Macaca mulatta: one gene and its partners. The main gene of each other region encodes a partner of the protein of the gene in region 3 in a complex. Links are inferred from orthologs where the notes say so. Each region holds a gene or a part of one and is shown on either strand. Other genes may lie near its edges.

What was found. Proteins that work in one complex are often made in the same cells at the same time.
Region 1: the proteins of ITGB3 (region 3) and SHC1 are in contact, whole or in part, in an NMR structure (PDB 2L1C), measured with the Homo sapiens proteins. The link is inferred for Macaca mulatta from reciprocal best matches to the Homo sapiens genes ITGB3 and SHC1. Residues at the interface, in NP_000203.2 of Homo sapiens: Trp765, Asp766, Thr767, Ala768, Pro771, Leu772, Tyr773, Lys774, Glu775, Ala776, Thr777, Ser778, Thr779, Phe780, Thr781, Asn782, Ile783, Thr784, Tyr785, Arg786, Gly787, Thr788; in NP_892113.4 of Homo sapiens: Ser175, Met176, Arg177, Asn182, Arg184, Thr185, Gln186, Thr188, Arg189, Glu190, Ser193, Leu194, Arg208, Arg209, Lys210, Arg214, Pro215, Leu216, Ser217, Ile219, Met257, Gln258, Ser259, Ile260, Ser261, Phe262, Ala263, Ser264, Gly265, Pro268.
Region 2: the proteins of ITGB3 (region 3) and ITGA2B are in contact, whole or in part, in a cryo-EM structure (PDB 8GCE), measured with the Homo sapiens proteins. The link is inferred for Macaca mulatta from reciprocal best matches to the Homo sapiens genes ITGB3 and ITGA2B. Residues at the interface, in NP_000203.2 of Homo sapiens: Ser188, Pro189, Tyr190, Tyr192, Ile193, Ser194, Pro195, Pro196, Tyr204, Asp205, Met206, Arg242, Asp243, Pro245, Lys279, His281, Ile282, Ala283, Leu284, Asp285, Arg287, Leu288, Ala289, Gly290, Val292, Gln293, Pro294, Asn295, Asp314, Tyr315; in NP_000410.2 of Homo sapiens: Gln49, Phe52, Arg72, Trp141, His143, Asn145, Glu152, Ala153, Glu154, Lys155, Pro157, Arg184, Phe191, Tyr197, Glu199, Phe202, Pro217, Tyr221, Phe222, Phe262, Asp263, Tyr265, Tyr268, Thr290, Trp293, Thr294, Gln315, Met316, Ala317, Tyr319.

The regions. Positions count from the first base shown.
Region 1 is NC_133406.1:112,029,961-112,037,532, reverse strand, and holds the start of SHC1 (SHC-transforming protein 1), read right to left. Parts: upstream 4,486-7,572; 5' UTR 4,328-4,485; coding exon 3,833-4,327; intron 3,251-3,832; coding exon 3,180-3,250; intron 2,638-3,179; coding exon 2,574-2,637; intron 2,418-2,573; coding exon 2,298-2,417; intron 2,061-2,297; coding exon 2,007-2,060; intron 1,835-2,006; coding exon 1,783-1,834; intron 1,604-1,782; coding exon 1,477-1,603; intron 271-1,476; coding exon 72-270; intron 1-71. UniProt on the Homo sapiens protein: Signaling adapter that couples activated growth factor receptors to signaling pathways. Participates in a signaling cascade initiated by activated KIT and KITLG/SCF.
Region 2 is NC_133421.1:68,763,357-68,771,066, forward strand, and holds the start of ITGA2B (integrin alpha-IIb), read right to left. Parts: upstream 4,486-7,710; 5' UTR 4,212-4,485; coding exon 3,871-4,211; intron 433-3,870; coding exon 311-432; intron 223-310; coding exon 125-222; intron 16-124; coding exon 1-15. UniProt on the Homo sapiens protein: Integrin alpha-IIb/beta-3 is a receptor for fibronectin, fibrinogen, plasminogen, prothrombin, thrombospondin and vitronectin. It recognizes the sequence R-G-D in a wide array of ligands.
Region 3 is NC_133421.1:71,568,996-71,575,971, reverse strand, and holds part of ITGB3 (integrin beta-3), read right to left. Parts: intron 4,874-6,976; coding exon 4,778-4,873; intron 4,370-4,777; coding exon 4,280-4,369; intron 3,606-4,279; coding exon 3,471-3,605; intron 2,221-3,470; coding exon 1,791-2,220; intron 1-1,790. UniProt on the Homo sapiens protein: Integrin alpha-V/beta-3 (ITGAV:ITGB3) is a receptor for cytotactin, fibronectin, laminin, matrix metalloproteinase-2, osteopontin, osteomodulin, prothrombin, thrombospondin, vitronectin and von Willebrand factor.

The DNA of each region.
Region 1 (7,572 bases), on a different chromosome or scaffold from region 3:
AAGGTGAGACCAGAAGCCCTAAACAACCACTCCCACCCTAGGCCCAGCCCACCTCCATCCAAGCAACTTACCAGTGTAGCTCCCAAGTGGCTAGGGGTCTGGGCACTGGGTGCAGTGGATCGAGCAGCCCCTGGAGCAGCTCCTTCCCGAAGCCTCATGTCTACCACCCCCCCCAGGGGGGGTTCCTTCCCCGGGAAGTCATTATAGTACTGATGGTCAGGTGGCTCTTCCTCCTCCTCATCCCACGCTGAGCCATCAAAGCCAGCCATCCTGAGGGACAGGACAGTGAAGGTGTAGCTGTAAATGTGTGGTGGGCAGGAGGAGGGGAGGAGGGAATAGAACAGCAGCCATCTATTGGGTATTTACTGTGGATTAGGCCTGAGGCTGAGTGTTTTATATACATAATCATTTCATTCTCCTGGCAACCCCATAAGGTAGGTATTGTTTCCTTCCCCAATTTTACATATGAGGAAAATGAGGGTCAGAGGTGAAAAGATTTGCCCAAGGTCTCACAACTAAAAGGCGGCTAAGCTCAGATTTAAATTCAGGTTTGACTTTAAAGCTCGTCCCCCTTGGCCAGGTGCAATGGCTCACGCCTATAATCCCAACACTTTTAGAGGCCAAGGAGGGAGGGCTGTTTGAGCCTAGGAGTTCAAGACCAGCCAGGGCAACATAGCAAGACCTTATCTCTACCAAAATAAAAATACTACTACTCAGCCACGTGTGGTGGCATGCACCTGTGGTCCCATCTACTCAGGAGGCTAAGGTGGGAGGATCACTCAAGCCCAGGGTATGAAGGCTACATTGAGCTGTGATTGCACCACTGAACTCCAGCCTGGGCTACAGAGCAAGGCTCTGTCTCAAAATAAGTAAGTAATGCTTTTGCTCTTGATCTCTGTGGGAGGCGCTCCAGCTCCAGAAGCACTATGGGGGGGGGGGGTGGGGTGTGTGTGTGTGTGTGTGTGTGTGTGTGTGTCTGTCTGTCTGTCTGTGTGTGTCAGCGTCAGCAGGGAGGCGCTCCAGCTCCAGATTTTACCTCCAATCCCTACTGGCTCCACTGCTTATCCCTCAAGGCCTGAGGTGGGAAAGATTGTAATCTCAGGGAAAAGAGATATCCTCCCAAACCCAAAGTCTTGATGGCTTCTAGAGGCAGGAAAACACAGAATGCCAAGCAGAGAAATGAGCAAGAAAGAGGAATGGGAATAGAAAATCCCACCTAGCCAGAGAGAGATGTAACTTGGAGGCCCTGGACTACAGCTCCACCATGAGCAAACAAGAAAAGCTGGCCCTGCGGCAAGCAGGGCCTCAAAAGCCTTTCCTCCTGGGCCACAGGAAACAGAAGAATAGCAGGAAGTGGGAAGCAGAGGCACACAGGTTATTCCCTCCCTGAACCTCTCAGCTCAAGTGTGGGAAGAACAGCCCTCCTTTCCCAATCTTGGTCTCAAAAGCTGCTCCACACTCTCCCCACTTGCTCACCTGTCATGAGGGGTGACCAGTTTGGGTGGGTTCCTGAGGTATTGTTTGAAGCGCAACTCAAAGGCCTGGCCAATGGTGCTGATGACATCCTGGGCAAGCCCTTCGGGACACTCCAGAATGTGGCAGGCTGAGGGCACAGCAGAGGCTGTCAGTGAGTTGAGCCCACTGGGAGGAGGCACAGACAGGGGCCCTCATCTTCCTCGGCAGGAACCCCCACTTAGATCTACTTAGAGTGGGTACAAATGACCCCAGGTCCTACTCACCTCAAACAGCCAGACCCACCCAGTGCTCCCCACCATGCCTCACCTCTCTGATTCACAGGGTCTTTGGCAACGTAGGCGACATACTCGGCTGTGTCCTGGGGAGGAAAGTCAGAAAATTTTACAGTTCCACTTTACTCCTGACCCCTAAAACCCAGTCCTTTTCAGATATCCCCACAGTCCTAGCACCCCCACTTCTCTAATCAATGTCTTCCCAATCACTAGCCCCTTGCTCTTCTCCCACCACCTTTGCTCTGTTCCCCAACTCACCGGATCCCCGCCGGATGCAAATGAGATAGATTGCATGTGGTGGTTGGCGATGATCTGAGAATTAGGGGAGGGGATGGAGAAGGAAGGGAATGCCATGTGTCAGGCAGCCTCAGGGCCCAGAACCCTGGTGCCCCAGTCTCATTCTCTGGGTTCCTTATCCCATATCCTCATTTCCTCCTTCCCTACTGGTCTTCTGCTCTCAAGCCCTCTTCCTAGTTTTTGGCCTCCTAACTAGATCTCCCCTTAGCACCCCCATCGGTGTTTCTGGTCCACCTGCCCACCTCCACCAACCTGTTTGCAGTCTGCGGCCATGAGGTTGAGGCTGCTGGTGGAGACGGTGAGAGTGATTGGCATTCCAGCAAATTTCAGGTTACTCCTCCCCAGGATAGAGCTGAGCGGGCGGCTACAGGGCTAAGGTAGGGCCCAGGGTCTTAGAAGGTGAGGGTTCCCAGCACAGACAAACCATACTCTTGTCTCCTGGCCCTCTCCCCACATGCCCCACACTTGCCTCCTCACTGTCCCTCCACATTTCCCAGCAGCATCCCTATCCCCAAGGACCCCAAGTACCTTTCTCCTCCTTGTCGCCCCCTTAGCACCCGGCACAGCCTCACACACCAGACTGATGGCCTCCCTGGGGAAAGAGGGGTACTCAGACCCAGCGCCTGCCTGCCTGCCTCCCACTCAACTGGGGCTGCCACAGAGCTGGGGGAGGGGAAAGCCAGGCCAGACTCCCAGGGCACTCCAGGCTCTTTGTCGTGGTGGATTGAATTAAGGGCCTTTAATATTTGATGACACTGAGAGGCCGCTTCCTGGCTGATTGGGTTAGGGCCTCAATGGGTATAGCCCCACCCCCTTCCAGCTACCAAATGTCCCATTCCCTTCCCAAAGGCAGCAGCAACCTTCCATCTACCCCATTTGCTACTCCAGCTCCACCTGCCAGCTGCTTCTGCTACCTTCCCCACAACTCCCAAGGCTGGACAGGTAAGGAGGATCCGGGCCAGAGGGGCCTCCTTTCAGTAAGAGGCAGAATCACTATCCCAGCTTTCTCTCAATCCCCTTTACTACCCAAAGATCAGCCCCAACCAGCAGCACCCAAGTGACCCACTCCCCTCCGCCCTTTCCCATGGCCTCACTAATCCCAGGACTCCCACAGTCCACTCCCTCCCCACTAACCTGGTAACCTGAGTCCGGGTGTTGAAGTCCAGGGCACGCATTGACTGAAGGACCTCCACACAGCCCATGTACTAAGGGGAGGGAGGAGAGGACAGCAGGTCAGCCGCTCCCTGACCCCAGTCCCTTCACAAAGGGCCCTAGGACTTTGCCCATATGGTCCCTAAGAGAAGTAAAGAGGAAGAAGTTCTGCCCTCTTCCCGTGTCTACATCCCACAACCAAGGTGAAAGACAACAGGGAACGAGCAGAGAAAGAAAAGGCAGGCTAGAAGGACCTCACGCACTGGGGAGAGAGTTTGGAGGGGACTGACAGGCACTGACTGGGATGGAGCAACAACTCCAGAAAGCGGGAGGAGAATGGAGGAAAGGATCAAGAAGTCACTCCTTCCAGCACTTATTAAGAGCTTCTGCCATGCTGGGCATTGTGCTAAGCATGGCAGGGTGGGGGTAGGGGAGTCAAAAGAAGGAAGGGGGCCCAGGCAGAGCTGGAAGGGAAAGGGCTACAGAATTGGGGAAGGGATGGGAAAGGTTTAGGAAATAGAACACTGAAACAGGGTTGTTGGGGAACAGCAGGAAAAAAGAATTCCAGCCAAGCTGGAGTGAGCAGAAGAACTGGAGGGGTCTGGGAGGCAATGGAAAGGAGGATGTTCACTCACCCGAACCAAGTAGGAAACCCCGGGTCCCATGACTTTGTCGTTGGGATGCAGCCAGCCCCGCGTGGGCTTATTGACAAAGCTCCCGTGGCGGGTCCACTCCTCGCCCCCCAGCTGGCCCCCTTCCACCCGAGTCCTGCGCCCGCCGCCTCCACTCAGCTTGTTCATGTCCTGGAGGAGGGGTAGGGGGCCTGAGTCTGGCATGGCTGCCCCTACGATCCCCTCCCCATCATCGGCTGCCCTTCCTGGCTCCCCCTTAGACCCTGGGCGCCCCCCAGCCGGGTTGGCCAGCCTCAGGTTGCTCATCCGGGGGAAGAAGGAGCACAGAGTAGTGGGACTATCGTCCCCAGGCAGAGGAGGCAGGATGGGCCCCAGGGATGAAGCTGATGGGGAAGGCAGCTCCTCCGGGGGGGTGGACCCTGAAGCCCCCTCCTCCAGCGATGACAGAGACTCATTCCGGAGTGGATTGTACTTGGGCTTGGGGGGCAGGAGATCCATAGCTGAGGTGAGAGAGGGGCTGCTGCCCGGCCTGGCCCCCCTGCCAGTTTGGGCAAGGGGGCCAGGCAGGGGGTATCCCCAGGCCCTTAGCCTGGTCGGACCTCTGTGGCCCACGAGTCACAGAAGTCCTGGGGAGGGAGAGGGACAAGTGGCTTCCGCTCCCCAGCTCAGACCCAGACAGTTTCGGGCCCCATCCCCGCCCAACGTGGAGCCTCTTCTCTGGCTGAGAAGAGAACAGGCTGGACCCAGAGCTGCCTGGCTCCTCCCCAGGGGCGGAGAGCTAAAGGGAGAGACCAATCACGAGGACAGTGCTGACTCACAGGCTCAGAGGGGCTGAGCCCCCACCCCGCCCCAACCTCGGACTGGAGCAGAGGGTAGGGCTATCCAAGCTCCTCTCCCCTGCCCTACACAAACAACTAGTAATCTGGGGAGAAGGAAAGTGGGGGTGGGAGGGAAGCATGGAGGAGTTGGACGGAAAGAAAGGAGATAGGAGGTCTGGGTCACTCGAAACCGGACACAGGCAGGCCAAAGGGGGCAGGAAGCCAGGCTAGAGTAGAGGGGAATGAGGGAGGAAACAGAGGCAGCTGCGGGTGGAAAAGGGAGGAGATCTCAGAGCTCAGCATTTCCCTTCCTGTTCTGGTTGGACACTCGAATTCCCCACCCTCCAGCCCAGGCCACCCCCAACCACTACCCCATACAGTAAGCCTGGGCCATTAGCATCCTCTGCTACGACAGCTGTGGACTGGAGCTAGCGAAGTGGGGATGGGAAGGAAGTGGTCCCAATGGATGCAGAGCAGGGTCAAGAGGAGAAGCAAAGTTGGTGAAAAAAGGGGAATAAAGTCCAACCTGGATGGTACATCAGGAAGCTACCAGGCAAGAGGGGAACAAGAGGACATGCTGGTCACGGCTTGTTCTCTATGTATGCCATCTACCACACCAAGACCCATGGCTCATAGCCAAGCACTGTCCTCTCCCCTTTCCACAGGCCTTGTTAACACAGCACACTGTCAAGGGTGAGAATGAGGCAATCAGGTCCCCACTCCCACTCCAAACCACCCCAATTCATATCCCTCCTCTTACAGGACCCTAAGCCCCACCAAACAGCACAGTGTCCCTCACACCAGGGGAGGAGCCTGGCTGGAGGAGGTGGAAGAAACAGTTCTCCAAGAGAAGCAGAAACGACAGGCCAGGAAGGGACAGAGAGATCAGAAGACACATCTGTGTCAATAAGAACAGGAGAAAAAACAAGTAAGCACAGGAGAAAGTGGTGTCAGGAGAAGATGGGTTGAAGCTGGACACAGGGAACAGTCCCAAACTCATTCCTGCCACCCACGGCTTCCTGCCACTGCTCTTCTGGAGAATGCCATAGGCAAAGCTGGAAAGCGACCAAAAAACAAAAAACAAGTTAAAGATACATATTCCCGCCGGGTAAGGTGGCTCACACCTGTAATCCCAGCACTTTGGGAGGCCGAGGCGGGTGGATCACCTGAAGTCAGAAGATTGAGACCAGCCTGGTCAACATGGTGAAACCCCGTCTCTACTAAAACTACAAAAATTAGCTGGGCGTGGTGGTGAGCACCTGTAATCCCAGCTCGGGAGGCTGAGGCAGGAGAATCGCTTGAACCCAGGAGGTGGAGGTTGCAGTGAGCTGAGATCGTGCCATTGCACTCCAGCCTGGGTGACAAGAGCAAAACTCTGCCTCAAAAAAAAAAAAAAATACGTATTCACCCAAGCTCACCTTGGAATTACCCTTAGATTTACTTCAGAGGATTAAAATATAGATAGATAATTATCCTGATTAACAACATTAACACTTAAAGTGTGTTAGATACTGTGCTTAACTCTTAAATCTCCCCTTAGTGCTCATTCCAGAAGAGCCTTGTCACTCTGTCAGCCAATCCTGAGAAGGAATTTTATCACTTCTTTTCCAGCCAGCTCTCGGGCATAGAGAGAATGAGGAAAGGATTCCACTATAGCCTCACACCCCCAAAACACATAAACACACACTAGGATGTCCTCATCTGTTGAGATGATGTTCTCTGGGAGCCTGCAGTATCCAGGGCCAGGGAAAGACCAACGGGTGTGGGCGTTTGGAAGAAAAGAAAGAAGTATGACTGTTGAAATGTGCATGGGGAGAAAAGAGATTGCCTACTGGAAGTCAAGGTGATTGGGTGTAGGGAAAAAGCTGTATGTGGCTTCTCAGCCCAACTGGGAGGAGGGGAGAGGGGTGGGAAGTGGCAGGAAATGGCGAAAGCCTCAGGAATGTTTCCAGCAGGGAAGGCTGGGCAAACGGGGCCAGGAGGAATGCCCAGACAAGAACTATGGTTAGGGGGAGGGGAAGAGACAGAGAAGCAGCAACTGAACTGTCCCTTAAAAAAAAAAGAAAAAAATCAAACAACAAAAAGGGCACTATTATCTACCCCCACTCCAAACCACCGTTTTTCTGGTAGAAAACTTGCTCCTGTCACACCCACATGCCACACACCAACAAATCCATGGTCCTATCCACTTATGGATAGGCAGGCCTAGAGCTACTTCTGGGATGGAGTTGGTCCTGGGAAGGGAAGGCCAGGAGATGAGGCTGGGAGTCTGACAGCAAGTCTCTCTCCCTCTGGTGCCAAACCCTAAGTTCAGCCCCTTCAAATAGTTCTACCCTTGAAGGAGGTTAAGAAAGAGGAAAATGGGGCCGGGCGCGGTGGCTCACGCCTGTAATCCCAGCACTTAAGGAGGCTGAGACGGGTGGATCATCTGAGGTCAGGAGTTCGAGGCTAGCCTAGTCAACATGGTGAAACCCCCCTCTCTACTAAAAATACAAAAATTAGCCGGGCGTGGTGGCGGGCGCCTATAATCCCAGCTACTCGGGAGGCTGAGGCAGGAGAATCACTTGAACCCAGGAGGCGGAGGTTGCGGTGAGTCGAGATCGCACCATTGCACTCTAGCCTGGGCAACAAGAGCGAAACTCTGTCTCAAAAAAAACAAAAAGAAAGAAAGAAAAGAAAGAAAGGAAAACGGCTGCCTTTAATCTCACTCTTCACAGTCAGAGATAGGAACTTTGACTTCCCACCTGGGGGAGCACGAGAGTGCTCGGAAAACTGATCCCAAAGCCCAAAAAAAGACAAAGGACAGGAAAATATAAGCAGGTGGAGTTTCAGGGATTGACGACAAGGCTTTACAGCTGATGACCCAGGTCCCACAAAGCTCGTAAGGGGGCGTGGTCCGCCAGGACGCGAACTTCAGACTTCTAT
Region 2 (7,710 bases), about 2.8 Mb from region 3:
CCAGGGGGCGCAGGCCTGGAGAAAGGCCACAGGAGAGTGGGGAAGGGCGCGAGACTTGAGCTCCTGCCGGCCCCGCGTGTCCCTGCCCCCGACTGTTCCCGGTGCCCTGTACCGCGGGGCCCACCACAATGACGTCGCTCCAGCTGACGACCGACGCCCCTAGTCCTTGGCGGGCCTTGAAGGTTTGTAAAGTTTGGGAGCCTACATTTCGGGTCTCATCACCTGGAAGGCACAAGAAGGGGTGGAGCGCTGAAGCCCGGCAGTCCACGTCCCTCTGGCCCCACCCTTGCTCTCCTTGCCTGGGACTCACGGAGGTCAAAGAGTAGCGAGGGGCACTGGCCGCCCTCGGCCCTCCAAGGGCACAGGAACACGCTGCCCGTCTCCTCCTGGCTGGGACCCAGCGTCCGTGGGGCGCCCACCACGATGGCCACTCTGCATAGGAAAGCTGGGTGAGCGCCACGCAGATTCCAGCGTATCCCAGACCCTGGCGCCGGCGCTGGGAGCACTGCCCGGAAGGCGATGTGGCATGGGGGCACCGGACCATCTGTCCTCAATGACACCTCACAGACCATCGAGGTGTACTTCATCTTATGGACAGTGAAACTGACTCTCAGCGCGGGCAATCACGTGCGTAAAGTAACCCAGTGAGTTGAGAGTAAAGCTGGGACTATAAGGGGTTTGAGATCTTTGCTGAAAAAGACCTAAATTCTGTACAACATCTCCATCCTTCCACCCATAACAAGAACCAGAGGTTCACGTGCTCCCTAGAATGCCTGTCTTGACTGTTACCAGATCCCCTCTTTTTTTTTTTTTTTCTTTTTTTTTTTGAGATGCAGTCTCGTAGTCTCCCTCTGTCGCCCAGGCTGGAGTGCAGTGGCGCGATCTCGGCTCACTGCAAGCTCCGCCTCCCGGGTTCACGCCATTCTCCTGCCTCAGCCTCCCGAGTAGCTGGGACTACAGGCGCCCGCCACCACGCCCGGCTAATTTTTTGTATTTTTAGCAGAGACGGGGTTTCACCATGTTAGCCAGGATGGTCTCAATCTTCTGACCTCGTGATCCGCCCGCCTTGGCCCCCCAAAGTGCTGGGATTACAGGCGTGAGCCATCGCGCCGGGCCCAGATCCCCTCTTGAGAGCTGGTTTTAATGAGGGAAGGTAGAAGGTACCTCTGAAGTGGGGCTGGAGTGTGTGTGCTGATAGAGATGAGGACCCTAGCAGATCTAGGTTTAAATCACAATTCTGCCATTTGTGAAATAGGAATACCAATTTCACAACCAATGACTTTTTCACAACCAATCAAAACGGTCAGGAGTAAATGTAATAAATACGAGTAATGGTTAGCATGGTCCCAGCCAAATACATAACAAATGCTCTTGAAACAATGCTATAATTTTAAAAAATAATTTTGTTGTTTTGAGACCGGGTCTCATTCTGTTGCCCAGCTGGAGTGCAGTAGCACGATCACAGCTCACTGTAGCCTTGATCTTCAGGGCTCAAGAAATCCTCTCCCCTCAGCCACCCGAGTAGCTGGAACTGTGGGTGTGCAACACCATGCCTAGCTAATTAAAAAACTTTTTTTTTTTTTTTTGAGACGGAGTCTCGCTCTGTTGCCCAGGCTGGAATGCAGTGGCCGGATCTCAGCTCACTGCAAGCTCCGCCTCCCAGGTTAAAGTCATTCTCCTGCCTCAGCCTCCCTAGTAGCTGGGACTACAGGCGCCCGCCACCTCACCCGGCTAGTTTTTTGTATTTTTTAGTAGAGACGGGGTTTCACCGTGTTAGCCAGGATGGTCTCGATCTCCTGACCTCGTGATCCACCCGTCTCGGCCTCCCAAAGTGCTGGGATTACAGGCTTGAGCCACCGCGCCCGGCCAAAAAACATTTTTTTATAGGCCAGTCATGGTGGCTCACACCTGTAATCCCAGCACTTTGGGAGGCTAAGGGATTACAGGCGTGAGCCTCTGTGTCTGGTCTATAATTTTTTTTAACCGCAGAATGTTTAAGTAGTGCCAATGGGATCACTACTTATAGGAGGAGAGATAAGCAGGAGTGGGCACAGGAAGGAGTTGAGCTGATTCAGGCCCAATGACAGCATTCGCCAACACCCACAAGCTCTGGAGCTAGAATGACCTTTCAAAATTGTCAGAGTTGGCCGGGCGCGGTGGCTCACACCTGTAATCCCAGCACTTTGGGAGGCTGAGGCGGGCGAATCACCTGAGGTCAGGAGTTCGAGACCAGCCTGGCTAACATAGTGAAACCCCGTCTCTACTAAAAATACAAAAATTAGCCAGGCATGGTGGCATGCACCTGTAATCCCAGCTACTCGGGAGGCTGAGACAGGAAAATCGTTTGAACCCAGGAGGCGGAGGTTGCAGTGAGCTGGGATCATGCCATTGCACTCCAGCCTGGGCAACAAGAGCAAAATTCTGTCTCAAAAGAAAACAAGAAAAAAAAGGCCCGGCGTGGTGGCTCATGCCTGTAATCCCAGCACTTTGGGAGGCCAAGGCAGGCGGATCACCTGAGGTTGGGAGTTCGAGACTACCCTGACAGAAACCCCATCTCTACTAAAAATACAAAATTAACCGGGTGTGGTGGCACATGCCTGTAATCCCAGCTACTCGGGAGGCTGAGGCAAGAGAATCGCTTGAACCTGGAAGGTGGAGGTTGTGGTGAGCCGGAGATTGCACTATCGTACTCCAGCCTGGGCAACAAGAGCCAAACCCCGTCTCAAAAAAAAAAAAAAAAAAAAAAAAAGAAAAGAAAAAAAAAGAATTGTTAGAGTTGATGAAAGAGGGAAAGAGGGCTGGACCCTTATCAAATGCCTCCCCACCCCCCGCCTCCACTCTCCCCACTCGCCCACTTCTCATTGTTCAGTCACTGGATGTGGGCCACCTTGGGAGGGGACTTTGAGTGAACTGGCTGTCTTCAGCAGGGGAGATCCCCTAAGTGGCTGACACTTGAAGGCTATCTGCCATTGCCACCCATTGCCACCCCCTGAAGCTGGTGGGCACTGTGTCTCTCACGGTAAGTAGCTCAGGGTACACACTATGAAGAGGAGCCAAGACTCTAATCTTGGGCACTCTTGATTCTGAAGCCTGATCAATACTAACCATTAATGACCTATTGCTTCTTTTCAAAAATTTATAATGTTGGTGGAGATGAGGGAAATGGAATAGAAATGCAAGATTGGGGAGGGTAGACAACTTTAGTTCTGCAAATCAATTTTAGGACATGTGCTCCTCTCCACGTTTCTTTCTTTCTTTCTTTTTTTTGAGACAGAGTTTCGCCTAGGCTGGAGTGCAATGGCGCGATCTCAGCTCACCACAACCTCTGCCTCTCAGGTTCAAATGATTCTCCTGCCTCAGCCTCCCGAGCAACTGGGATTACAGGAATGTGCCACCATGCCCAGCTAATTTTTTTTTTTTTCTTTTTTTAGTAGAGACGAGGTCTCTCCATGTTGGTCAGGCTGGTCTTGAACTCTCGACCTCAGGTGATCCACCCGCCTTGGCCTCCCAAAATGCTGGGATTACAGGCGTGAGTCACCATGCCCAGCCTCCTCTCCACATTTCAAGGTGTTGAGGGTGGTGTGGTTCATACAACTGACCCTTGGGGAAAAAATAAAGCATCAACTCTTGTCTTCCCTTGGTTCTTGCTATAGTTTCAGTGCCCATCACCCACACCTGTGCCCTGCCCTTACACCTTCACCTGAGCCAGTCCCCCAGACCTCAGCATTCTTGACAAGAAATCAACCTGAATAGGCCCCACAAGTCACCTTGCTCAACTGCCATAACAAATGGGAAACTTGAAGCCCCCAGAAGCAGTGATGGGGAAGGGTCCTGCTCTTTCCCAATACCCAAACTTCCCTCATAGCTCACCTCCCATGGCTGTCCTTGTGGAAGTCCAGTGAAAACCCAAAGTGGCTGCCATTGGGGCCTGCATAGAAGGTGAGATGCACTGGGTCCAGGTTCAAGGCCCAGGCTGGAGGGGCAGCACAAGGTCCCAAGAGCAGCAGCACCCACTCCAGAAGCCAGAGGGCTTGCAGTGGACACAAAGCTCTGGCCATCTTCCTTCTTCCACAACCTCCCAGGCAGGAATGGACCAGCTCCTCCTTCTTCCCTTCAGATTCCTCCACAGGAAGTCTTTTCTTATCAAACTGCAACCCCAAGTAACTTGCTGAGCAATGGGCAGAGCAAAGGGCTATAGCCCCTGGACTCATGGTGGCTAGAATTGTCAGGAAGTGGGTGAGGCCATGCTCATGGCTGGATGCTCATAGCTGAAAGCCATGAGTCCTCCCTTTTCCTGAGAATAGTTTATTACCAAGTCCTATTGGTTCTGCCTATCAACGATGTCTCTTGAATCTTTACCCCATCTCTAATACCACCATGCTAGTCCAAGCCACCATCACTTTCTGCTTGGGATACCGTGATTGTGAACTGGTCCATACCTGTCTACTCTAGCCTACAGTTCTAATCTCCTCCCTTCCCCCATCTGGTTGTACAGCTGTGGTGCTTTGTGACTTAGCCAGAGGTTGGGGAAGGAGAAGGAAGCTGCTGCCCTCTGATAAAACCTGAGGCTGCTGTGTCTTTTTGGATATGGCATTTACCCGCTTCCTCCTAGGACCTTGGGCGGCCTCAACCAGCCATACTGGCGCAGCAGCTTCCTCACTTGTCTGTCTTGAGCCAAGTTTTAGTGTGGCCACAGCAGTGCAGTCAGTGCTGGGGACAGGGTGGTGAACGGACCTTGGTCTAGGTGGCAAGGATATTGGGGATAAAGTGGAGTTATTCCAGGGAATTTTGACTCACAGGTTCTGAGATTATGCATTAGCTGTTCAGTTGAAGGTAGGCCCTCAATCCTTTTTGGGTGACGGAGCTCTTGTCTAACCATTAAGACTTGATTCTGGTTGGGGTCTTTGCCTAGGGGAGCCTTCCCTGACTCCTCAGGCTGGCCGCATGGGCTAACACACATAGGCACAGTATTGAGCACACTGTTTACTCATGGTCTGTTCACAGGATTATGTAAATGAGTCCCTTGGGAGCAAGGCTCCTTGCTACAGCCCTAGAGACTACCCAAGAGTCCAACATGTAGTACGTGTATTGCCGAACGACTGGACGGAAACACACACTAAGGATGGAAGATGCAAATATAGGGTGACAAAGTGAAGGGATGAGTTTTGAGCAGAAAGGCTGTCATTTTCTCTGGGTAAGCGGAAGAGGAGGAGTGCCAAGTCTTACTGGCACTCGTGCCTTCCCAAAAAAGCAGGTTCTCAGGAAGGAGATTCAAGAGGTTTGCTAGGGGTAACCATAGCCACATTTTCCTTTTGATTTCTATTTTCCGACCAAACTTAACCATTGCTGTATCCTGCTCAACCACCCTGTGCCATTTTGAAGTCCCCTCATAATTTACTACCTCAGCATAGAGCTAAGAATCTTATCCTTTATAGGACAGGAAGCTAAAAGCCTAGACTTTGGTCTGAGCCTTCTTCATTGCTGAATTCCCAGTGTCAAGTACACGGGAGGCATGTGATTAATGTATTTGCTAGAATGAATACTTAACCCAGTCTTCTACTTACCTTCTATTCTCCCACTGTCCTCAGGTGAGTGAGTGCTGTATTACTGGTGTATTCTGTGAGGCCAAATATTAAGTCACATTTCACTCAAGTTTTCAATAAGTATTTACTCTGTTCAAAGCACTGTGTTGATAAAGGATACAAAGATAACCATCAGGCCAGATACAGTGGCTCACGCCTGTAATCCCAGCACTTTGGGAGGCTGAGGAAGGAGGATGGCTTGAGCTCAGGTATTTGAGACTAGCCTAGGCAATACAGTGAGACCTCGTCTCTATTTTAAAACTATAAAAAATAAAATATTTTAAAAACTCCAAAGATAGCCATCAAGGAGCCTTAACAAACAGCCCAGAAAGAGTTAAGACATGAACACACGGCTGGGCACGGTGGCTCAAGCCTGTAATCCCAGCACTTTGGGAGGCCGAGACGGGCGGATCACGAGGTCAGGAGATCGAGACCATCCTGGCTAACACGGTGAAACCCCGTCTCTACTAAAAATACAAAAAACTAGCCGGGCGAGGTGGCGGGCGCCTGTAGTCCCAGCTCCTCAGGAGGCTGAGGCAGGAGAATGGCGTGAACCCGGGAGGTGGAGCTTGCAGTGAGCTGAGATCCGGCCACTGCACTCCAGCCTGGGCGACAGAGCGACACTCTGTCTCAAAAAAAAAAAAAAAAAAAAAAAAAAAAAGACATGAACACACATAACCGCAGCAGAGACAGTAAAGCATACCTTGAAAAATATACAGATTATCAAAGTCATCTATCATTGTTCCTCATGACAACCCTAGGAAATAAGTACTATTAATGCCCATTTTATAAACACAAAACTGCGGCACAAGAGTTTTAGGTGAATTGCCCACATTTACACAGCCAACGAATGGCAAAACTAAGATTCAAACATGGGTTGCACTTGAACTCATGTTCAAGTTGCCTTTTGTTAGAGAATGAAAGGGTTTTTAGGCATAGAGAATACATGAGAGCAGCAAAGGAACACAGAGGTGGGGAAGGACAAGTAGTTGACTCAGCATAGCAGAGTGCTTAAAGGGGTGGACTGAGGTGCAAGGTGGGAAAGGAAAGCTTGGGGGTTCTAATTACTGAAGGTCCTTGAATACTGTATTAAGGAATCTGAACTTTAATCCATGGGAGATGGAAAATCATAAAGATTTTAGCCAGGCACGGTGGCTCATGCCTGTAATCCCAGCACTCTGGGAGGCCGAGTGGGTGGATCAGGAGTTCGAGACCAGCCTGGCCAATATAGTGAAACCCCGTCTCTACTAAAAATACAAAAATTAGCTGGGCGTGGTGGTGCATGCCTGTAATCCCAGCTACTTGGGAGGCTGAGGCAAGAGAATTGCTTGAGCCTGTGAAGCAGAGGTGGCAGTGAGTCGAGATCATGCCACTGCACTCCAGCCTGGGCGACAGAGTGAGACTCTGTCAAAAAAAAAAAAAAAAAAAAAAGAGAGGAAAAGAAAATTATAAAGATTTTTAGGCCAGGTGTGGTGGCTCACGCCTGTAATCCCAGCACTTTGGGAGGCCAAAGTGAGGATTGCTTGAAGCCAGGTGTTTGGGACCAGCCTGGGCAACATAGTGAGACCCTGTGTCTACAGAAAAATTAAAATTAGCCAGGCATGGTAGTGCACACCTGTAGTTCCAGCTACTGAGGAGGCTGAGGCAGGAGAATCACTCGAGCCCAGGAATTTTAGGTTACAGTGAGCTATGATTTTGCCACTCCACTCCAGCCTGGGCAAGAGAAAGACTATGCCTTAAAAACAATTTATTTATTTTTATTTTTTGCTGGGCATGGTGGCTTACAGCTGTAATCCCAACACTTTGGGAGGCCAAAGTGGGCAGATTGCTTGAGGCCAGGAGTTCGAGACCAGCCTGGCCAACATGGCGAAATCCTGTCTCTACTAAAAATACAAAAATTAGCTGGGCGTGGTGGTGCACACCTAGAATCTCAGCTGCTTGGGAGGCTGAGAAGGAGAATTGCTTGAACCCAGGAGATGGAGGTTGCGGTCAGCCACGATTGCGCCATCGCACTTCAGCCTGGGCAACAAGAGTGAAACTCCATCTCAAAAAAAACACACAAACCACAAACCAAAAAACGCATTTTTGAACTTTTTTTTTGGCTCAATTCTGATGCACAATCCTCAGT
Region 3 (6,976 bases):
CCCCGTGGTCCAGCCATACTCCTCTCCTAGGACCACCCTCTCTCCCTCAGTCCCCAACCTTCTTCCCAGGGGTCTCCCACTTCAAACTTACCCATTTCCTTTGGTACTTTGAATTAGATGTAAATACTTTAAATAGTAAAATGAAGTGAAACTCCTGCCTCACCCCCTAATTCAAATGGTTGTTGTTTGTGTGCTTTCATCTATGTGTATCTGATCTCTTGCTCTACCCTAATCATTCTGATAACACTTCCTCTCAAACTCTCTCTAAAATTTTATCAGCATAAGTAAAGGAAACAATGTTGTAGATAATAAAAAAGCAATCATTTTTATGTTACTGTCATGCTTTAGAATGACACAGATCGACCTTTCTAAGTGAGTTTTTTAAAAGGCTAATATCAGTATTAAAGTGAGTATCTGCATATTAGCTCAACTCATTAGAACCCCAATGCCGGCCAGGCACAGTGGCTCACGCCTGTAATCCCAGCACTTTGGGAGGCCCAGGCGGGAGGATCACGAGGTAAAGAAATCGAGACCACCCTGGCCAACGTGGTGAAACCTCATCTCTACTAAAAATACAAAAATTAGCTGGGTGTGGTGGTACACGTCTATAGTCCCAACTACTCGGGAGGCTGAGGCAGGAGAATTGCTTGAACTGGGAGGCAGAGGTTGCAGTGAGCCGAGATCGCACCACTGCACTCCAGCCTGGCAGTAGAGCAAGACTCTCTCTCAAAAAAAAAAGAACCCAATGCCAATGAAGCCAATCTGAGTCAAGGGTCACCCCAGAAAACAATTATAATGTCTCTGTTTGGCCACACAATACACCCGTAACCCAGTCCCAACCAACTTGCAAGTGTCTGTCGCAAGAGGGATTAAACCACAGTGATTATGGCCCAGTAAAAACCCATCCTCAGTGCCCCAGGAACAACTCAGACTATTTGCCCTCTGAGAGTGTTGTCAACATATCTGCAGATAAAGACTACATTAACGTTAGTTCAACTTCTAGCGGGAGAAGTACCCCAGGAGTGGTTCTTGGGGCAAGGAGAAACTAGTTTGAGATTATCAGTGGGCCTCAATATTTTACTGAATTTTGCAATGAGAATGACAACTCAGCACCCTGCTGAGTAGAAGGACTCAAAATCATAATCCCCAATCTGTCGGCAGGGACTCTCTGTGGCAGTGCTAGCCAAGAGAACTTTCTGTCACGTTGAAATGTTCTAGATCTATGCTGTCCAATATAGCAGCCACTAGCTACATGTGGCCACGGATCAGCTGAAAAACTGAATTTTTAATTTTTTGATTTTGGCTAATTTAAATAACCACATGTGTCTAAAGGCTACCATATTGGATAGCAAAGATCTAGAATCCAAAAAATAACAGTAGTACCAACAGTAGTAATAGTGATAACAAAATAGTGCTAACATTAACAAGAGCATTACACCATTTTCCAGACATTGTTCAAGCACGCTCCAATGCCTTGCATATATACTACTATTTTCCAGGTCTCTTGTGATACAAAGATAAACTCATGTAAAATTATTACTAACCTTACTACATATTCTGACATGTGTTTTCTAAGTCTATAAATAGTAAAAATTTAATTGCTATCTATCAGTAACTTTTTTTTTTAACCTGAAAAGTGGATTGGTCCTTATACTCAAAAAGATTGGGAACCACTGAGTTACACCTCTGCCTGCAAAGACCTATCTCAGGCCTTTGCCTATGTTTCCAGGGGTTGCAAATGTATGAGGGGTTGTGGGTTCCAGGACAGGGGGCCGTGCAGTTCTCCTCACCTGAGCACATCTCCCCCTTGTAGCGGACACAGGAGAAGTCATCACACTCGCAGTACTTGCCCGTGATCTTGCCAAAGTCACTGCTGTGGCAGACACATTGACCACAGAGACACTCGCCCCGCTGGCTGCAGACGGGCTGACCCTCCCGGGGGCTGCACTCGTCCTGCTGGGAAGGGCGATAGTCCTCCTCTGAGCACTCACACTGGGATCCCAGCCAGCCAGGCCCACAACGGCACACCCCACACTCAAAGGTCCCATTGCCATTGTTGCAGTGACGGCTATTAGGTTCAGCTTGGGCCTGGCAGGCACAGTCGCAATCAAAGGTGACCTGGACGATCAGGCTGTCCTTGAAGCCCACGGGCTTGATGGTAAAGGACTTCTCCTTCTCCTGGGGGCAGCCTCGCACCTTGGCCTCAATGCTGAAGCTCACCTGGATGGAAAGCAAGATTGTATTTAGACACAGTTGGGCCCAGTTAACACTCCAGCTCTGGAGGGAAAAAAAAGTTGTTCCCTGCCCTGCCAAGGAATACCCAAATTGGGTGTCTTATGCTTTTGCAATATGGAGTTCCTCAGGCTTTGTGGAAGGTCTGCAAAGCAAACCTTCCACAGGTTCCACAGACCTCCACCTCTGTGAAGGTCTGCAAAGCAAAAACACAAGCACGGGAATAGTATCATTGTGACATATGTAGCTGGATGCAGAGACATGGTCTACAGTCAATAAATAATAAAAGGCTGTTTTTTTACTTCACGTGTGAAATAGACCAGCTGAAACTGAACAGAACCTGTGATCATATAAACACCCTGCTCTGGCCAGCTAAGCAAGCTGGACTGATTATAATTATCAGCAAGATGCACAAAGCACTGTTTTGCACCACACAATCCCACATAGTGGTCAACCATAAGCTCAGGATCTACTTCAATTTCCACACATTTTATAGTTTATGCAATAAAGCATGTTTCAGGACAATATTTCTAACATGGGATGCTTGCACAAGTGCCTGAAAGATAGATAGATTAAGAGAAAGGATCACTGCATCCAAAGATCTATTTTCTTCCCCTCCTTCCTCCCCTCCCACCAACTCCTCTCCCCTTAGGCAGAAGCAGAGGAGAAACGACCGATAAGGAAAGTCGTGGAGGGACTGGATGGTGAAATGAACATCTGGCTTCAAAAATTCCATGAGGGTAGGTACTCTTGCCTGTTCCATTTGCTGCTAAATTCTCGGCAACTAGAACAATGCCTGACACAATGTCAGTGCTCAATAAATATTTATAGATGATGTCGTCGTTTTACATTTTAGATTTTACTTTCCTGTGTCATTTTACAAAAGAAAGGTATTAATTACCTTGGGAAAGCTGGAGACTGGTGAGGGACTGAAGGTAAAGAAATATTTTCCTTTGCAATCAACTGTGCATACACAAACAAAGGTAACCAAATTGTAAGTTTTTTAAATTCCTAAGAGTTAAGTTCACGTAACAGAAATAGCTTACGCAACAGAAGCCCCAGAGGAAAAGATTGGTGGATCCATTACATCTAACTTGAAATGACTTTCAGGAAAGGTATTTTTCCTGCCCATATTTTTTCTGGCGGAAGGGGGCCATTTTTAGTCATTACAAAAAGAAGAAAGGGGGTTGGGTGCTCACAGATGCTCCAGTACAAAGGCCCTGCCCAGCCCATCTCACCGTGTCTCCAATCTTGAGTCCCATACAAGACTTGAGGCCAGGGATGACCTCATTGTTGAGGCAGGTGGCGTTGAAGGATAGAGACAATTCTTCAGGGAGGTCACGCACTTCCAGCTCGACTTTAGAGCGGATTTTCTGAGCACAAAGGGGCACAAGAAGACAAGAAAATGAACTGAAAGGAAATGGGAAATGGCAAGAGCCAGTTCCATCCCAAACCAAATCTGCCAAGTAGCTCTGGACTTACCCCAGCAGTGCCAGAGGCCAAGGTTTGACCTGGAAGCTGCCGGAGCACCCCTAGGACTCTGTTTCCTCCTCTGTTTCCTGCACAGGAACCTGCTCCCTCTTTCCATCTCCACTTGCGTCTAGGTGAGTCTGGGTAAAATGTACCAGCTACACCCTCCCGCAGGCCTCACAGATGTTGCGAAAGGGGAGTACTGGTCACCTTGGAAAGCAGCATTTTCTACCTAATGTTTCATCAACCTCACCTTCCCCATGTCTCAGCTCTCTCTTTTCCCTGTTATTGGAGCCCAGTTTTCCCTCACTCTGCCCCAATTCCAGGGCTCTGCTCCTTCTCCAACTAATCACCATCCCCATCCCCATCCCCTTTCTTTCTTTCTTTCTGGGCTACTTCCTTCTCAGAAGGCTGCATCCCTTCTAGAGCAGACCACTGCCTGGCCTCTGGGAGCACACGGAGAAGGCAGTAAGATCGTGTGGTAGACTGGCACCTGGGACTCACAAACCTGAGCCCTGCTGTGTAAGCCAAATGAGGTGGACTCTCCGCAGGACTATTCCCAGCACAAGACACTTACCCCATAAGCATCAACAATGAGCTGGAGGACATTGCTGGAATCCATGGACAGAACCCCGACTGTGGTCCCTGGGATGAGCTCACTATAGTTCTAGAAAGGACGACAAAGATGTCCAGAGCTTACCGAAGGAAGGTGGTGGTCTCCAAAAGCCCTCCTCAAATACCACTGAGAGTCCTGAGATGAAGATTGGAGGAAGGTATGGGATATTTCAGTGGTCACTGCCAGGAATATATCTAGCAGTTTTTCAGCCCTGAGCAAAAGTAGAGGAAGCCTCTCACACCCTTTGCCACCTCCCCTCCATCACCACAAACACCAGCACACACCTCGTAAGTTCAAGGTTGCAGGAAAAAGGCCCAGAGTGCAATCTTTAGCTCCTGGGCAGTGGATTAGGGGAGAGTCTTTCCTGGTTGGGGACTATGGCCAACGCTAGCACAGGCTGGCTACCTGGGGCTCCCACCATCACAGGGCCCACTCCAGGAAGCCCGAAGGCACAGTCACCTGATAGAGATTGACTACATTTTCAGTCACTGCAAAGATCAAATTGATGTTTTTCTGGGAGAGCTTCTCAGTCATCAGCCCCAAAGAGGGATAATCCTAGAAAAATGAAGGATGTAGAAGTTAATGAAGTGCCATGTACATCCCTAGGGTCTAAACCTTAGAACTTATCTTGCTTGGGCTGTGGCTCAGAGAGTTGTGGTGCTTAAACCTTTTCACTTCATGCTGAAAGTGAGACAAGAGCCTGGGCAACATAGCAAGGCCCCATCTCTACAAAAAAAAAAAAAATTTAATTTGCCAGATGTGGTGGTAAGTGCCTACAGTCCTAGCTACTGGGTAAGCTGAGGCAGGAGGATCGCTTCAGCCCAGGAGTTGGAGGTTACAGTGAGCTATGATTGAACCACTGTACTCCAGCCCAGGCAGCAGAGCAAGACTCTGTCTCTAAAACTAAAAAAAGAGTGGGGGGCGGGGGGTACAGTGAGACAAGAAGGGTAAGTAGCACAGAAGTCTACTTGTGAACTCCAGGGATAGACAAAGAGGTGCAGGCCAGTGATGTCAAAACTAAGCACCTCTTTCTTCCTGCTTGAATTTAATGCACTAATACAATGGAGCTGCTTCCCTGCACAAGGCACTGGGTTAGGCCTCTGTTTTGGAACTACTGACCGATGCCTTGGCCTGGCCCTCATGATCCTCCACCGTGTGGTCTCAGTCTTTCTTTCCAAATATTACTCACCTCTCTCCCTCTTCCACTCAGCAGTGATCTGGTCCACTGTCTCCCACCTGGAGTTGCCTTCTTGTTGGTAATCCTCCTCCTTTCTTAGGGCCCAGCTTAGGCCCCACCTCCTTCAAGAGACTTCCTTCAAGAGACCTCCTTCCAGCTCATGATGAGCTTTCCTCCCTTGGATACGTATAGCCCACTTTGGCTTTGCCACACCCATTTAGCACTAATCATGCATCTTGTGTTATTGTAAATATATATATATCCTTTCTCCTCAACTAGACCAAAAACTCTGTAAGGATAGAACCATACATAGTCTTGTTACCTCCCTCAGCCCCTGGCCCAGTGCCTTGCATAGATTAGGTGTCAAAGGTTGCTGACTCATTGCCTGGTAGTGCTTGACTTGGATATGGCTGACACCAAGGAACTCCAGGACACTGTGTGGGTGGGGTGGTGAATTGTGAACATGTCCATGGGATCCTAGACCTTGCAGGGAGCTCATTAGATCCTCAGCTCAGTCTCCTGCCTTTACACAGGTATACCTTTAAGCCACCTAGATAAGGAAGTTGCTATATTGTCCTTAGGAGATGAAGAGTTCACACCTGCCCCAGATACCTAGAGCATTACAGCACATTTCTCTTATGGTTTATAGTAATTTCTCCTGATTCAATTTAAATATTTTGCTCTTGTTTAACCTACTATGGTGATATAAAACAACTTATAAGACGTGTTCTCATGTATAAGCTAAATCATCCTTTAGCCTTCTTTCTTTCAAGCTGAATGACTCTGGCCTTTTAATCTTTCCTCGTAGGACCTGTTCACCATGTCTTTGATGATCTTTCCCCTCTTTCTCTCTTTCTCTCTCTCTCTCTCTCTGAGAAGGGGTCCCCACTAGGAGCAATGGCTCACGCCTGTAATCCCAGCACTTTGGGAGGCTTAGGGGGGCAGACTGCTTAAGCCAAGGAGTTCGAGACCAGCCTGGGCAACCTAGCAAGACCCTGTTTTCAAAAATTAGCCGGGCATGGTAGTTCATGCCTGTGGTCCCAGCTACTCAGGAGACTGAGGTGGTGAAGGCTACAGTGAGCCAAGATTGCACTACTGCGCCCCAGCTGGGCAACACAGCAAGACTCTGTATCAAAATAAAACAAAAAAAAAGCAGTGGTGGTTCTTGCTCTGCAATTCAGGCGGGAGTGTGGTGGCAAGATCACAGCTCACTGCAGCCTCAGACTACTGGGCTCAAGAGATCTTTCTGCCTCAGCCCCACAAGTAGCTGGGACCACAGGCACAAGCCACCACACTCAGTGAATTTTTGCATTTTTTGCAGAGACAGGGTCTCACTATATTTCCCAAGCTGGTTTCAAACTCCTTGACTCAAGTGATCCTTCCACCCCAGCCTCCCAAAGTGCCGAGATTACAGGCATGAGCCATCACATGCCTGGCCAATCTTTCTCTTTTTTTCCTCTATCTTCTTCCAATAACCACAA